3 linked regions of the Xenopus tropicalis genome follow. The protein of the gene in region 3 interacts with the protein of the main gene of each other region in a biochemical or structural test. Links are inferred from orthologs where the notes say so. Each region holds a gene or a part of one and is shown on either strand. Other genes may lie near its edges.

Region 1 (5,635 bases), on a different chromosome or scaffold from region 3:
GGAGGGAGGGAGCAGGGTAAATGTGGGTCCTTAATGGGTGCCCCTCAGTTGTAGAGGTCTGTAGTTATGCCCCTGGCCACTGGCCATGTTGGCCTGTAGTGTCAGAGCTGTAGGAGCTCCCAGTTGCCATTGTATAAATAACAAAGTGCAAACACTGTTCTCAGAAAACTCACACTTATCACTCTGCTTTGTACAAATACTGCTTTTGGTTATGGCGCACTGCCGCGCACACACGCGTACACACACCAACACACATACACACACGCACCAACACACATACACCCACACTGTATTTGTTCCATGTAGATTTGTTCCTATGTGCCTTGGAATAAGTGGTTTTTACAAAATACAATCAAAGATAAAACAGAACTCAGTTTGGACTTGGCCAAGAATGATTTGTACTTGGTAATATTCAGTTCAGCCAATATTTAAGGATTTGGTTGCCTCAATCAATCCCTTTGCTGTCACATGTCAGATGATAAAGGAAGGGCAAATGTATAATGGTTTTGTTTTTAGCCCTAGAAATAGTAGTGTCAGAGAGCTAAAAACTTGTCCTAATACGGAAATTTCAAGTTACTGAGGGGGTATCAATTTATTAGTTACTGCCCCCCCCCCCGGTGACCTAAATCGCTTATGTCCAACCCCAGGTTGATGCTCCATTTCATTAGAAAGCACCCTGGTTCATATCTGCACAGTGGGCCACCACCATATTGCCCCAGGCATCCCCTGTGAGACGTTCTTAAATACACATGTGCCAAATCTGAACTCACAAGGGGGACACGCGGGAGCAGCGCCCCAGGTCACACATTCACAGGTGGGACTCCATTCTTAGCTTTCAGCCCATTTACGGAGTGATGGCCAATTCAATTAAATAAAGTGGCCAACGTTATCATACCATGAGGCAGAGCCCTGGATCAATGACAGGTAAAAGGATAAGAAAATATGGTCTCTGTCGTGCCAGTCCTTTCCCTTGAAACTGGCCCTGAAGTGCTAAATAATTACAGATCCTGACCCTGTACTAAAACCACTATTTCCTTTTTACCTTTTAAACATATGTTGTCCATAGTTAGTGTTAACTGGGACCAATAGCGTTTTATGAGCTCCTTTCATGAACACTTGTTAATGGGTTTGTTAAAGGGCAACTATCCCCAACCAACAACAAAAATTAAATTGGTTTTACATCCATATCTAGTCACATGGGTTGGGTATATGTCCACTTTAAAACTGGACCCACTGTGTGAATTTACTATGTTATACTTACACAAAGGAATAAGGACAGACTGTGGCTCTGAGATCTAACCTTATTAATGGAAAACATATGTATAGGCATAAAAGTATTTTTTACAGAAACATTGGTCTAGGCTACAGCCCTTTTTTAAGCTGATATGATACAAGGGGCCAAGGCTGATATTTAGAGTTTTTCATGGCAGCATGGCCCTCCCAATCAATCACATACACATCACAGCATGAAGCAATGCATTGGATGACTGAGAAAATAATAACCACTTACTCCTAATGGTATAATGCCCTTTAAAGGGTGGTATACCCTATTTATAAGTGACTTTGCATTTATCTTCCCATACTGTTTGCAAAGATCATTCTATCTCTGTATATATTACACAGACATGGTAGCTGTCAGATTGCTGCTTTCAGCTGAGGACAGATGCTGGGACAAGCATATTGGCAGCTCCCATTCATATGTAAAAGTGGATGTAACCAATGAAATCATGTAACAAACCAAGCTGCAATACTTTACTGCCTACTGAAAAGAAACAAATTGGAAGCCTATATGTGACAATGAAAACTGAATGGGCACTGAAAAGCCACAATCTTGACCACATAACCCTTTTGGTGCTACAAGTGCCCAGGACTGCAAAGGTTTTAAATGATCCAGAACTCTGAGCATGACCCGCTGTTCGGCCCCATGGAGGTGTTTTTCTCACCACTCTGTGTTATTTAATTTGCTCCTTCTGTTTGGCAAGTGTCTTCTTCAGTTCTCGCAGATTCTCAGTTAGAACCTCTACTTCATCCAGCCGGCCACTGTGCTTGGCATCAAAGATGTACGCCTTGATGTTATCAATCTGTTGCAGCAGCAGATCTTCTTCTATGACCTCTTCATCCTGGGTCTCCTCACTGTCCTCAAATGGGTTTCCTGGGATCTGATCCTCATCAGTTTCAAAGGGATTCTGGGAAATACCTGATGCGCTATTACTGTCTGTGGAGCATTCAAAGGGATTGCTTGAGGCAGGGGCTGTTAAATGTTTATTATCCTCTTCCTTACTATCCAAGCCATTCTCATCATTCTCGTCAAAGGGATTATACTCCTTCCTACCATTGTGATGTGTGTGGAGAGGAAGCAAAGGTGCTGGTTCATCATCCTCATCTTCGAAAGGGTTAGAGGGTGTAACTTTACTCTTCTCCACTTTGGGCAAAACAGGGGTTGTGGTCATGGAGTGATTTGGAAGTACATGGTAGTCCTCCACATCCAGTTTGCTTTCAGTAACACGCTGGGATGGAAGGGATTCGTTGAGGTCACGTTTGGGAAATTGTAGGTCCAGAGCTGCTGTCTGTTTTTCCTGCCACCCCATTGGCTGTCCCTGCTCTCTAAAATCCAATGAATGAGTTCTGTTGTGTTGAGCTAAGCCTTTGAGTTGCTCGCGTTTCACCTCTCTTTTCCTCAGCACTTCCAGCTGCTCCCTCTGCATGGCCTCCTCCTCAGCCAGAACCTTGGACATCTGGATGGCTGTTTCCACCTGCTGCTCGTCGTACTCCTCCTGCAGTTGTCTAAGGTTATCCTCCAGCATCTGCACCTCGTCCACTCGCCCAGCATCTTTGGCTTGCCGGATGTACGATGTGATGTTTTCAATCTGCTGGAGAAGGGGGTCTGACATCTCTCTGTTTCGAGGGTGTCCGGATGTCGGAAGCCAGCCCTCAACTTTGCGAATCTGACCACTCGGAGACAGACCACCATTGCGTACATCCCTTTTCTTGTCATCACCGGCCTTCTGTGCTTCAGCCTGCAAAAGAAAATACAGAGAAGCTGCTGAAAGAAACTTCCTCCAGACACTCACAAAAATAACATGTCCTTCTGCCATGGATTTAGCCAAGTGTAGAATTTAGAGCTCTAAACTCTAAAACTGCAGCTTGCACTTTTCCAGACAGAGAGCTGCATGTATCACCACTTTTGTTAATGGTGCTTGGGTCAGAATGCTCAATCCTTCCTGCCTTCTATTCCAAATCAGACACTGCTGCGCCTATTGAGGCAGGGAACCCTGGAGCTACTGCAACCTTCTTATCAGGCAGTAGCTCCAGGGTTCCCTTTGTGGTCTTTTTGCCAAAGGGCATGTGCAGCAATAATAGGGCACACATGTCACTCGCATGCCAAACACCAGAAATGATGCCAGCGAACCCTGACCAATGGCCAGTCGGATTTAGAAAATAGACTGTGCCTGATTTGACAAAAGCACATGTGCCGCTACATCAACTTCATCAATAGAATCGCCCATTTGGATCTGCAATGATACCAGAAATCAAGAAAAAATGTTGGAATGTGGGAAAAAAAGCAGATTGTACTTATAATTGCACTTGACGTAAACGTAAAGCCTTCTTCTCTCTATACTTGCCCTTGTAGGTTAAAAGGGTCTGTCACATGGCTAAAGGTCCCCATACACGGGCCGATTATAGCTGCCGATATCGGTCCCTTGGACCCATTCGGCAGCTTATCAGCCCGTGTAGCGGCAGAACCGAGGGGCCTGGCTGACCGATATCTGGCCTGAAATTGGCCAGATATCAATCGGCCAGGTTAGAAAATCCAGTTGGATCGGGGACCGTATCGGCTTGTTGATGCGGCCCCCGAACCGACTGCCCCATTGCCGCCCACATAATCCGATCGTTTGGCCCCAGGGCCAAAATGATCGAATAATTTTTTTTTTTACCTAAAAGCTCCCCGATATCAGCCACCCATAGGTGGGGTTATCGGGTGCAGATCGCCAAGCGAGCGGATCTCAGCATGTATGGGGACCTTTAGTGTTGCCACAATTATTTAATCACAATAATTTAGGTAGTATTATGACTTCCAGTATCTTTTATGGGGTTTGGGGGTGATGGCCCAGGCCCAGACTGGCAATCTATGGGTTCTGGCCAAAGCCAGAGGGGCTGCTGTAAGATGCCATAGACAGTCACTATTTATTGGGCTGGTGGGCGCAGTTTGGGCCTCTGTGAACACCAAGGCCAGTTTTGAATCCCAGTCTGGGCCTGGAATCGTCATACAATTGAACTAGCAGATATATGTTGGTAGCAACAGCTAGCAGTTGCACTATGATAGATTACTATAGGATTACTTACCTGTCGCTCTCTCTGCAGTTTCTGCTCATTCTCTTGCCTCCGCTTCTGTTTAAGCTCCTCGTATATTTCTTTAGTTGGCAAAGACATTAAGCCCAGTAATTTTTCCTGAACAGAAAGAGAAATTAACAAAAAGGATGAGTCAAGAGTCCTTCATGTCAAGTGACTCACTGCCTTTACTGGTCAGACCAGTAAAACAGAAAGTGAGAGTCTCATTACTGCTCTTGATGGAGGTTACAATTAACAGGAATTTGACTGTGCATGGTACTGAGTGAGAATCGTGGAACTGAACTTACCATAAGCATTATATTCCCTAATCTATTTGCCAACTACAATTCAATAACAGTGTTGCACCAGCATCTCATATGCAGAGATTCTAAACAAATAAATGTCAAGGAAGTAAATAAACAAATCATTACCTGAACAAACAAGGTGGCCGAATATCTCACCATCTTCTGTAACTGCTGTGTTTTAGGGTGAGGCTTGGGTTCTTCATTCATTCCAAGGGTGAGAATCTTCTTGCTGGCAAACAATACAAATGATTATATGGGCAATATATAGCAAAGGGCTTTTTCTAAAATGGTGGAGGCCAGCAGGATACTTTTGAAGCAAAAACACATGTTTAGTAAGAATAGTACAGATTTCTTCCACCTATCAAATATTGCTATATTAGAGTTATCTGAGCATAAGCACTCACCACTGGGCTGTGCTTTACACCCTGCAAAAATGAAAATCCAGAGTAAGGTGCCATGCACATGGGCAGAAAGTACAGGGATCCCTGTCCCCAGTCCATCCCAACACACCCTACCTAGGGCATCTCAATGACACACAAGCTAACCACCTACCTTTCCTCTATGTAGTGCTGCCAAAGGAATGCATCATTCCAGTGTTTGGCCACCTTAAGGCATATCATTTGATACACACACAGGATGGCACTGGACAGTATTGGAGTTTTCTCTGCCTGCATTTTTCCACATCACATATACAACACATGCTGTTTACAACACAAAATGAGGACTCTCACCTTAATGCATCTATTAACTCGTAGTATTTTTGCAACTCAACCCGCAGGTTATTGGTATGGTCCAAATTGTAGGTTGTCTCCCCAGCACTGCAGATATAAAAACACAAACAAAGATGCATATTATTTCGGCAAGATAATTACCCCCCTGACTACTGCACAAGCAGCAGATCAGACCTAAGGAATCCGTAGGAAAGACAAGTGTGGGTGTTTAAGATACAGAATGGCCTGTTCTTTTGCGCACTGCTGAAAAAAAAATAAGTAAAAGAATGA
Region 2 (4,591 bases), on a different chromosome or scaffold from region 3:
CTTACCCATCATTCCATCTGTATGTGTCACATGGTATCGCTGAATCGGGCATCGCACTTACAGGCCCAACCCACTTACCCATCATTCCATCTGTATGTGTCACATGGTATCGCTGAATCGGGCATCGCACATACAGGCCCAACCCACTTACCCATCATTCCATCTGTATGTGTCACATGGTATCGCTGAATCGGGCATCGCACTTACAGGCCCAACCCACTTACCCATCATTCCATCTGTATGTGTCACATGGTATCGCTGAATCGGGCATCGCACATACAGGCCCAACCCACTTACCCATCATTCCATCTGTATGTGTCACATGGTATCGCTGAATCGGGCAACGCACTTACAGGCCCAACCCACTTACCCATCATTCCATCTGTATGTGTCACATGGTATCGCTGAATCAGGCATCGCACTTACAGGCCCAACCCACTTACCCATCATTCCATCTGTATGTGTCACATGGTATCGCTGAATCGGGCATCGCACGTACAGGCCCAACCCACTTACCCATCATTCCATCTGTTTGTGTCACATGGTATCGCTGAATCAGGCATCGCACTTACAGGCCCAACCCACTTACCCATCATTCCATCTGTTTGTGTCACATGGTATCGCTGAATCAGGCAACGCACTTACAGGCCCAACCCACTTACCCATCATTCCATCTGTTTGTGTCACATGGTATCGCTGAATCAGGCAACGCACTTACAGGCCCAACCCACTTACCCATCATTCCATCTGTATGTGTCACATGGTATCGCTGAATCAGGCAACGCACTTACAGGCCCAACCCACTTACCCATCATTCCATCTGTTTGTGTCACATGGTATCACTGAACTGGTAAAGGCAAAACTCTCCATGACAACCAGTATCAGCTACTTTCTTGCCTCCCATAATCCCTGGGGGGAGTGACTATTGTTAATTATGTGCCCGGGTGGGGGGGGGGGGCATTAAGGTGCAGTAAGGGGGGGTGCCTACTGGTGCCTGTGCCTACTACCCCAGACAAACCAGTGGCCCTGGGCCCCTGTACACTGCTACTAGTAGCTCTGTGTGTCTTTGCCCTTAGTGGTTGTGGAAAGTCGGAGCTCCCAGCAGGGGGCGCTATACCTCATATCATTGTCTGACCCCCTGTAATTACTGTTCTACATTTATCCCTATAGAACCTGACAGGTAAGAGGTAGAAGTGGGCAACTCCCGGGATCCCCCAGTCAGTACGTGCCGCCTACCCCTATACTGGGAGTTGCACAGACTGGGCGTGCCTGGAACAGGCCCACTTTGTTTCAGATGCTAAAGGGTTAACATTAAAGATCAGCAGAAAAAAAAGGACCAACTGCAAAGTTTCTTAGAATGTGACTTATTAAAATTTTAATCTTGAGGTTAGCTTGCCCTTTAAACCATACACCTGACTGCCCTTATGGACGGCGGCAGGACATTCAAGAGGGCATTGAGGGCAAACGCATTAACCCCCCCCCCGCCCCCAGCAATTAAAAGGTTTAATCACGATGGGGCACAAGAGCGTCCCGTTACGACAACGATTCATTACAAACGACGACGGACGGCGCGAGGCCGACGCCCAACTCCCATCAAGCTCGGCGCTTCCCCTTTATTGTCCTGTAAATGGAGGCAGCATCACAATAGGCTTGGTCTGGGGGGCACCGAAGGTTCCGCGGGGGCGCCCCGGGTCAGTATGGCGGCCCCCAAACATGGCCGCTTCCCAAAGGCAAAGTAATGAGCGCTTGTACTCGAGTGATTACGGGGATAATAAAAGGCGATGTGTCCTGCCCGTGCCTTTAATCGGCCTCCGTCACGCCTCCGACTCTCGCTGCTTCTTCTTCCCCTCGTCCCCCACATCGCTGTCTTCTGATTGGCTGCTGCTCAGAACCACAAACTGCCCCTCGGCGCTGGCCTGGGCGGGCCTGCTGGAGGCGGCGATTAAACGGCTCTGCTCTTCCAGATCCTGGGGGTACAGAGGTTACGGTCAGATCGCCCCAACGGGGGAGCAACCGGGGCCCCCCAACTGATACACTGCCATTAGGGCGGGTCACCTTTTCGTTGACTTTTAGTATGTTATAGAATGGCCTATTCCTGGCATCTTTGCAATTGGTCTTCATTATTTATAGTTTTTTAATTATTTCCCTTCCTCTTCTGACTCTTTGCAGCTTTCAAATGGGGGTCACTGACCCCGGCAGCCAAACCCTATTGCTCTGTGAGGCTCCAGTTTTATTGTTACTTTTTATTCCTTATCTTTATATTTAGGCCCCTCCCCTATTCATATTCCCATCTGTCGTTGAAACCACTTCCTGGTTGCTGGGGTAAATAAGACCCCAGCAACCAGATAGCTGCTAAAAGACCAAATGGAGAGCTGCTGAAACCATAAAATATTAAAAAATGAAGACCAATTGCAAATAGTCGCTGAATATCAATTTCTACAACATATTAAAAGGTGAACTACCCCTTTAAACGTTAAAGGAAAACTGCACCCAAAAAGTGACTTTTTCATACTTTAGGAAAATCTGATAACCAGTTTAACAGTAGCATGAGAAGCACAAAGGGAGTATTGCCCCCCCCCCCCCGGGGGTAAAAACTGCTCAGGGGTAGGGACCTACCTTTTCTATCTGTTTCTGTTTGCTGATTTCTTTCTGTTGTTTCTCTTTGACTTTGTCGATTTCTTTCTGCTTCTCCGACGCTCGGCGATCCTGTCAGCGAGCAAAGATATCGGATCAGGTCACATGACCTTTAATGAGCAAACCTTCATTTTTTCCCCATTGATTCTTTTTGCTTTATTTTGCTCCTAAAACTTCCTCTGTACCTTCAATAACCCTCCTATTGTGTTACTATAGGGATTCCTAAGCACAATTCAGCAGGAACAGCCCCCTAAGTTTGCCCATAGCCTGTACAGAGAGATACCATAAAACTATGGCACATAGGGATTCCCCTGTACTAAGCGCAATTCAGCAGGAACAGCCCCCTAAGTTTGCTCATAGCCTGTACAGAGAGATACCATAAAACTATGACACATAGGGATTCCCCTGTACTAAGCACAATTCAGCAGGAACAGCCCCCTAAGTTTGCTCATAGCCTGTACAGAGAGATACCATAAAACTATGGCACATAGGGATTCCCCTGTACTAAGCACAATTCAGCAGGAACAGACCCCTAAGTTTGCTCATAGCCTGTACAGAGAGATACCATAAAACTATGGCACATAGGGATTCCCCTGTACTAAGCACAATTCAGCAGGAACAGCCCCCTAAGTTTGCTCATAGCCTGTACAGAGAGATACCATAAAACTATGGCACATAGGGATTCCCCTGTACTAAGCACAATTCAGCAGGAACAGCCCCCTAAGTTTGCCCATAGCCTGTACAGAGAGATCCCATAAAACTATGGCACATAGGGATTCCCCTGTACTAAGCACAATTCAGCAGGAACAGCCCCCTAAGTTTGCTCATAGCCTGTACAGAGAGATACCATAAAACTATGGCACATAGGGATTCCCCTGTACTAAGCACAATTCAGCAGGAACAGCCCCCTAAGTTTGCCCATAGCCTGTACAGAGAGATCCCATAAAACTATGGCACATAGGGGTTCCCCTGTACTAAGCACAATTCAGCAGGAACAGCCCCCTAAGTTTGCCCATAGCCTGTACAGAGAGATACCATAAAACTATGGCACATAGGGATTCCCCTGTACTAAGCACAATTCAGCAGGAACAGCCCCCTAAGTTTGCTCATAGCCTGTACAGAGAGATACCATAAAACTATGGCACATAGGGATTCCCCTGTACTAAGCACAATTCAGCGGGAACAGCCCCCTATTCATATTATAGCTGCGTAAATTCCAATTCCAACTTAATTTAAAGGTGAACAACCCCTTTAACAAGCCATGCAGGGAGTTGCAGTTCAGCGACACTTACAAGTTCTGCATGAAGAGCGATCTGTTTCGCCAGCCCCACGGAATCGCAGATCTGTGAAGGGAACAAATGTGAGATTTGTAAGAAGCAACGCCATGTGGATTGGACAGACCTGCCCACCCATCAGCCAATCCCTGGTCCCAAAACAATGCTTACAGTTACCATAGAAACTACCCCATCAGCTTAATCAGAATAAATACAATAATCATCAGGTTCAAAGGAGATAAAATCAGGGACTGGCGAATGCAGCCCCACCCCCGACTTAAAGGGGAAGTTTACCTATAATTAACTTTTAATGTTTTAGACACTGCAATTAGCAATTGGTCTTCATTATTTATGGTTTTTCAGTTAATTAGCTTTTTGTTCAGCAACTCTCCACTTTGGTATTTTAGCAGCTGGTTGCTAGGGTCCTTTTTACCCTAGCAACCAGGCAGTGGTTTAAACGAGAGATAGGAAAATGAATAGTATCGGGGCTGCATAGACAGATAAGGAATAAAAAGTAACAATAACAATAAAACTGGAGCCTCACAGAGCAATAGGTTTTGGCTGCCGGGGTCAGTGACCCCCATTTGAAAGCTGCAAAGAGTCAGAAGAAGGAGGCAAATAATTCAAAAACTAAAAGAAATAAATGATGAAGACCAATTGCAAAGTTGCTAGGAATGGGGCAT
Region 3 (5,635 bases):
TTATCCAAGTTCTGAATTATGGAAAGGCTACCTCTCATAGACTCCATTATAAGAAAATAACTCTAATTTTTAAAAATGATAATAAAACAGTACCTTGTACTGGATCCCAGCTAAGATATAATGACTCCTTATTGGAAGCAAACCAATCCTATTAGGTTTAAATGATTTTGAAATTATTTTTTAGTAGACTTAAGGCATGGAGATCCACATTATGGAAAGTTCTCTTATCTGGAAAGCCCAAGGTCCCAAGCATTCTGGATAAAAAGTCCTATACCTGTACATGGAAAATATCTCCTCTTATGTTTTCCAAAGCAAGCAACATGGAAGCTCCAACTCAGTTATGCATATATAAGTGCAGACAGTTAACTTACAAATAGGCTACGTGATGTTAATCCCCATGTGTTTGGGATATTTTTTTTTCTGTATGCTGGTAAATATTTGGCTTCTTTGTTTTTAGTTAAAATGCTTCTTTGTTGCTAAGATTACTGTTCCTAGGAATCTGTTGAGGTGCTCTCTTTGCCACTACAGAATAGTCAGTTGTTAGTAGATGGCAACAGTCAATGGTAAAATAATATAGAAAAAAGTAAGGGTCCCAGATCTCAATATAGCTACAGACTTATCCAATTAGGTTGAAATTTGATGTGTATTTACTGGCTTGATTATCAACAGAACTATAGGAGAGTGACTGCCAAAACCACATGTCTGACTGCAAAGTGGGGACTTTCTTTTAATGAATAGTTTGCATCAGGACACTTTATTTTCTCAATTTTTACATCTGAAGCTGCTTTCCATTTTATAACCCAATTTTTTTGTTAGGGTTGAAATGACATTGTTCAGAGAGGATTAAGTGACAGCTGTGCTAGTAGAAGCCATATGCCATTTAAAATCTAAAGCCAAAAAATCCCACTGAAAATAATCACATGGGACCTATTTACCTGTATGCTATTCATTCTCCTGTGTTTAGACCAAGTGTTAACTTGTGTTGCTCTTTTGCACATAAGTACACTGTACAATATAATTTAATTTGATTGTCTGTGTTTTAGGCATGGATTGTACATCTGGATGCCCTGAGGGCCCTCAAAGTGCTTTTCTTGGCCACCTGTCTGCCCAGTGGCTCAACAGGCTTAAAGGAGAACTGGAGCTTGCTAAAAAAAAGTAGGCTAGAAATGCTACACATTATATTTTGAGGTTCTGTATCAGCTCAAGGCAACCACAGCCTTTTAGCAGTGAAGATCTGTGAATCCGAAGTTGTCCCCAGTAGCTCCCCATCTTCTTTTCTGCTGATTCTCTGCACATGCTCTGTGCTGCTGTCACTTACTGAGCTTAGGGACCCACTCACATTATACTGTATGTAGAGAATATAATAGTCACAATTTAAAGACTGATTAGTAAATAATTAAAATTCTCATCACATGGCAGCTCAGAAACCAGTGCAGTGAATATCAGAATTTAATAGTCAGCCCGGTAGCATCACCCTATATGACAGACAAACCTTATTTTCTGTTTGATAATTTGCTACAATCCCCAAGTTTAGCTTGTCAGCAGTTGCTCACTGATTTTTTTTTTTAGGAGTGTCTGTAAAACTGCACATGCTCAAAGATGGTGATTTGCATTTGTCTGAATCATTACTGTTGTATAAGTTATTAAAATTTAGGCTTGTGCAGTATTATAAAATATGGCATTTCTACCCACATTTGTTTTTACTTTTTCTCTAAGGTGGCCATACATAGCGTGTATATGGGCCCCCCGGTGGGCTTATTCAACTGATATTTCTCCAAAAATTAGCTACATGTCATTTCGGCTGGTTTAATTTTACTGTCTGATAAGGACCGTATTGGTTTGTTGCTGCGGTCCTCATCTGACTGCACTGTAGGCCCATCTGTATATTGAGAAACCTTTGAAAAAGTAGGTCAGATTTTTAAACCCCACAGATGCAACTGCTGAAGCCATAAGGGGTTCCACAGAGAATTGTCTGCCTATTGGCCTATTGTCCACAAATATGCATATTGTATACATTTTCTGGACTAACTCTTCATTACCAATATCTTCTATAGCTTCCCAGTCAGTGGTAAGAATTTGCTTACTACATTTTAAGACATGGGATGCTGGTATCTTTGGGTATTTGTAGCCTTTAAGGAGGTTATGTAATAAAAAGTATAATTACCTGTTATTGTCTGCTGTGTGTTACTGAACCTGGGTAACCCTTTTTCCCCTCTCTTTCATATGTACTGTTATCCATTTTTCTCTGTTGGTGGATGAATGTTTTCATTTTACTCTGTTGGTGGATAAATGTTTTAGTTAGTGTGTTTTTGGTTTTGTTATAACGGAGTAGCACTCAATAAGGTTTCTAAAATCAGTCATTTATTTGGATGTTTGTATATTAATACACACTGTATTATGTTCTCATTTAATAGATTGCCAGAAGGATAAGTGAGCATCCAACCCACCCTTTGCTTATTGGGCTGCAGCCGACTTTGTAATCATCAGACGTTTTGCCTACAATCAAACATGGCAAACCGAGGCGGAGCTACCAGACCGAATGGACCGAATGCAGGAAATAAAATCTGTCAGTTTAAACTTGTCCTTTTAGGAGAATCCGCAGTTGGAAAGTCTAGTCTAGTGCTTCGCTTCGTAAAGGGACAGTTTCACGAATTCCAAGAGAGCACAATTGGAGGTCAGAGAAATATTGCAAAGTATTACAGCTGTATTTAAAAATGTAATCAAAACATCACAAATATATACATTATATATTGAATGGTACCCCAAATTATTAGTCACCAAGCAGTTCCATGACCATTTAAAATAATGAGGCCACAGGCAGGGTCCTGGAACTCTGAGGTGACTTTATACTTTACAATAGAAAGTACTTTATTAACAATATAGTGGGGATGCATGAATTCAGGATTCGGCATTTTCCAGCAGGATTCGGCCTAATCCATGCCTCTGGCCATACTTAGAACACGTTGTTCTCTATCCCCTTCTTCATCTCCGTTTGCATATGGAAATTTTAGGATTCAGATTCGGTCCAGTATTCGGCTGAATCTTTCACAAAGGATTTGGGGTTCAGCCAAATCCTTATAATGGATTTAGTGCACAGGTTTCCCTAAATGAAATTGAAGTTTAAAACACTGTTTAACCCTTTCTGTTCAACTGGACTGTCTCTTAAAACTGTAACAGGAGCCAGGTCTATAAATCAGCTTTAATTAGCTGGCTTGCAACATTGTTTCTGTAGTCCGAGCCAGGAGTGCTTTTAACTGCAATTACATGTGCAAATACTGTAAACCCACTGAAATCTATAAATGTTAAGTCGCTCATGATTGTATATGCTTTTATCATGCAAAAAATAGTTTTTGTGGGGAGGATGCCTTTAAGGCTAGAGTCATATGAGTGATTAGGTCATTTGGTGTGGCCTAGCTGCTTAGGTGAGGGCTGGGCAGGTACACTGCAGGCTCACTGCTGACATTGCAGAACTGCACACATCATTTGTTGAATGAGCTGCTGAGTATCCAATTACCTTAAATCAATCGTTAATCTGATATCTAGAGCTATAGGGCACCAGCCAACATAGTTGTGTGTGAGAGGGTGATATGTCTTTGCCTTACTTGTGTAAATTCTACTAAAGGGTATATAAGCTTAAAAACAGATATTTATGTAAATGTATTCATAATACTTCTCTGAGAACTCATGAAATTTACTTTCACTTTTCTGAGATATTGGCAGTTTTAGACGCTTCGGCTCAGCAGCTCCCTTTAAAGGCCAAATGTGTCGTAACAAACCTGTCTATGCATTAGATTTCCTTTAATACTGTGATTTATAACAATTTGTCTGTATGACTCCCATTGCTGTCATTTGGTAACACTGGACTGGTTTAATTCCTGATCAGATGGAAAACTTCAGAGGAAAATGTAACGTTGCTTTTCTCTGTTTTGCACACACTTTATGTTGCTCTTTATTATGTTTAGAATATCAGGATCTGGAGTTAGAGCCAGATTACATTTTACCACCCATGTGCCCAAGTAACCAAGAATATAGATAGCAGTTTACATAATAGGCTTATCATTATACAGGTATGGGGCCTGTTATCCAGAATGCTTGGGACCTGGGGTTTTCTGGATAAGGGATTGTTCCGTAATTTGGATCTCCATAATTTAAGTCTGCTAAAAATCCTTTAAATATTGAATAAACCCAATAGGATTGTTTTGCCTCCATTAATTATCTTAAATATCTTAATTAGGATCAAGTACAAGGTAATGTTTTATTATTAGAGAAAAAATGGAAATCACTTTTAAAAATTATAATTATTTACTTACAATGGAGTCTGTGGGAGACAGGCTTTCCGTAATTTGGAACTTTCTGCTACCAGCTGCAGTTCTGCAACTCTCGCCATTTCCCTGCAGCTGGAAGGCCACAGGCTGTGGAAGTCTTTTGGTAATATTTAAAATGAACTATAGAGGGGCTGTTTCTGTGATATTACTACACTGAATTTTGGTCCTTTTTTGATTTTATATTTCAGAGGAGACATTCTATAATCACATAGGATTTTTACTATTAAAGAATATTTTATATACTATACAGATATGGGACCCGTTATCCAAGATTCAGATTTTTAAAAAGTATTTCCTTTTTCTCTGTAATAATAAAACAGTACCTTGTATTCGATACCAACTAAGGTATAATGTATCCATATTGGAGGCAAAACAATCCTATTGGGTTTAATTAATGTTTTATTGTTTTTTTAGTAGACTTAAGGTATAGATATCCAAATAACAGAATTCCCCTTATCCGGAATACCCGAGCATTCTGGATAATGGGTCCTATACCTATACTGTGTTCTGGGCTAAAGCAAGTCATATATAGGAATTCTTAGTAGTTCTGGGAGAGTCTTAAACAACTGAATCTTTGACTTGTCAGCTATGTATAGAGCCGTATTCAGTGGGACCCGAATCTTTGGGCCAACCCACGAAGGGGCCATTTGCATTGGCCTATAACTTCCAACTTGGTTATGATGAAGTTGTAGGTAGCCCATGCATGCCAGTGTAGTAATTATTTGGGGATTTGCAATATATCATTTGTAATATGAAAAAACATTACTTTTTTTGTTGTTGTTTTGGATTTGTTTTTAAAACTTACTTTGTCTCTTTATTTTTCTCTTTACAGCTGCTTTCCTTACCCAAACAGTCTGTCTCGATGATACAACTGTAAAATTTGAAATTTGGGATACAGCTGGTCAAGAGAGGTATCACAGCTTGGCCCCAATGTACTACAGGGGAGCCCAAGCTGCAATAGTTGTATATGACATTACAAATGAGGTAAGTATAAGTGTATTTTACTGCATTATTTTTTTTGTAATAAAATTAAACTTTTATTCAAGTTTCTTCATTCTGTATGTTCCTATAATTTGCAAACCCAGTATATTCCTGAGTTTACAATATTTCTCCTGTTCTTCTTGTTAGAGTTGATTTTTACTTAAAATGGCAAGGTTTAGGCCTTGGGTATCAAATGGTCAATACTTTAATATCATTCTAATTATAAAGATGTGTTTTATATGTACAGGTATAGGGCCCATTATCCAGAATGCTCGGGACCAAGGGTATTCCGGATAAGGGGTCTTTCTGTAATTTGGATCTCCATACCT

Evidence for each region. The genes of interacting proteins can lie anywhere in the genome.
Region 1: the proteins of rab5a (region 3) and rbsn form a complex in vitro, tested with the Homo sapiens proteins (3 studies listed by BioGRID, with this or other methods). The link is inferred for Xenopus tropicalis from reciprocal best matches to the Homo sapiens genes RAB5A and RBSN.
Region 2: the proteins of rab5a (region 3) and appl1 form a complex in vitro, tested with the Homo sapiens proteins (2 studies listed by BioGRID and IntAct, with this or other methods). The link is inferred for Xenopus tropicalis from reciprocal best matches to the Homo sapiens genes RAB5A and APPL1.

Annotation. Positions count from the first base shown.
Region 1 is NC_030680.2:132,267,375-132,273,009, reverse strand, and holds part of rbsn (rabenosyn-5), read right to left. Parts: intron 5,453-5,635; coding exon 5,366-5,452; intron 4,864-5,365; coding exon 4,761-4,863; intron 4,450-4,760; coding exon 4,345-4,449; intron 3,018-4,344; coding exon 1,953-3,017; 3' UTR 1-1,952. UniProt on the Homo sapiens protein: Rab4/Rab5 effector protein acting in early endocytic membrane fusion and membrane trafficking of recycling endosomes. Required for endosome fusion either homotypically or with clathrin coated vesicles.
Region 2 is NC_030680.2:148,650,189-148,654,779, forward strand, and holds the end of appl1 (DCC-interacting protein 13-alpha), read right to left. Parts: intron 3,978-4,591; coding exon 3,927-3,977; intron 2,707-3,926; coding exon 2,617-2,706; intron 1,968-2,616; coding exon 1,815-1,967; 3' UTR 1,349-1,814; downstream 1-1,348. UniProt on the Homo sapiens protein: Multifunctional adapter protein that binds to various membrane receptors, nuclear factors and signaling proteins to regulate many processes, such as cell proliferation, immune response, endosomal trafficking and cell metabolism.
Region 3 is NC_030682.2:45,577,603-45,583,237, forward strand, and holds part of rab5a (ras-related protein Rab-5A), read left to right. Parts: intron 1-2,414; 5' UTR 2,415-2,508; coding exon 2,509-2,674; intron 2,675-5,157; coding exon 5,158-5,309; intron 5,310-5,635. UniProt on the Homo sapiens protein: The small GTPases Rab are key regulators of intracellular membrane trafficking, from the formation of transport vesicles to their fusion with membranes.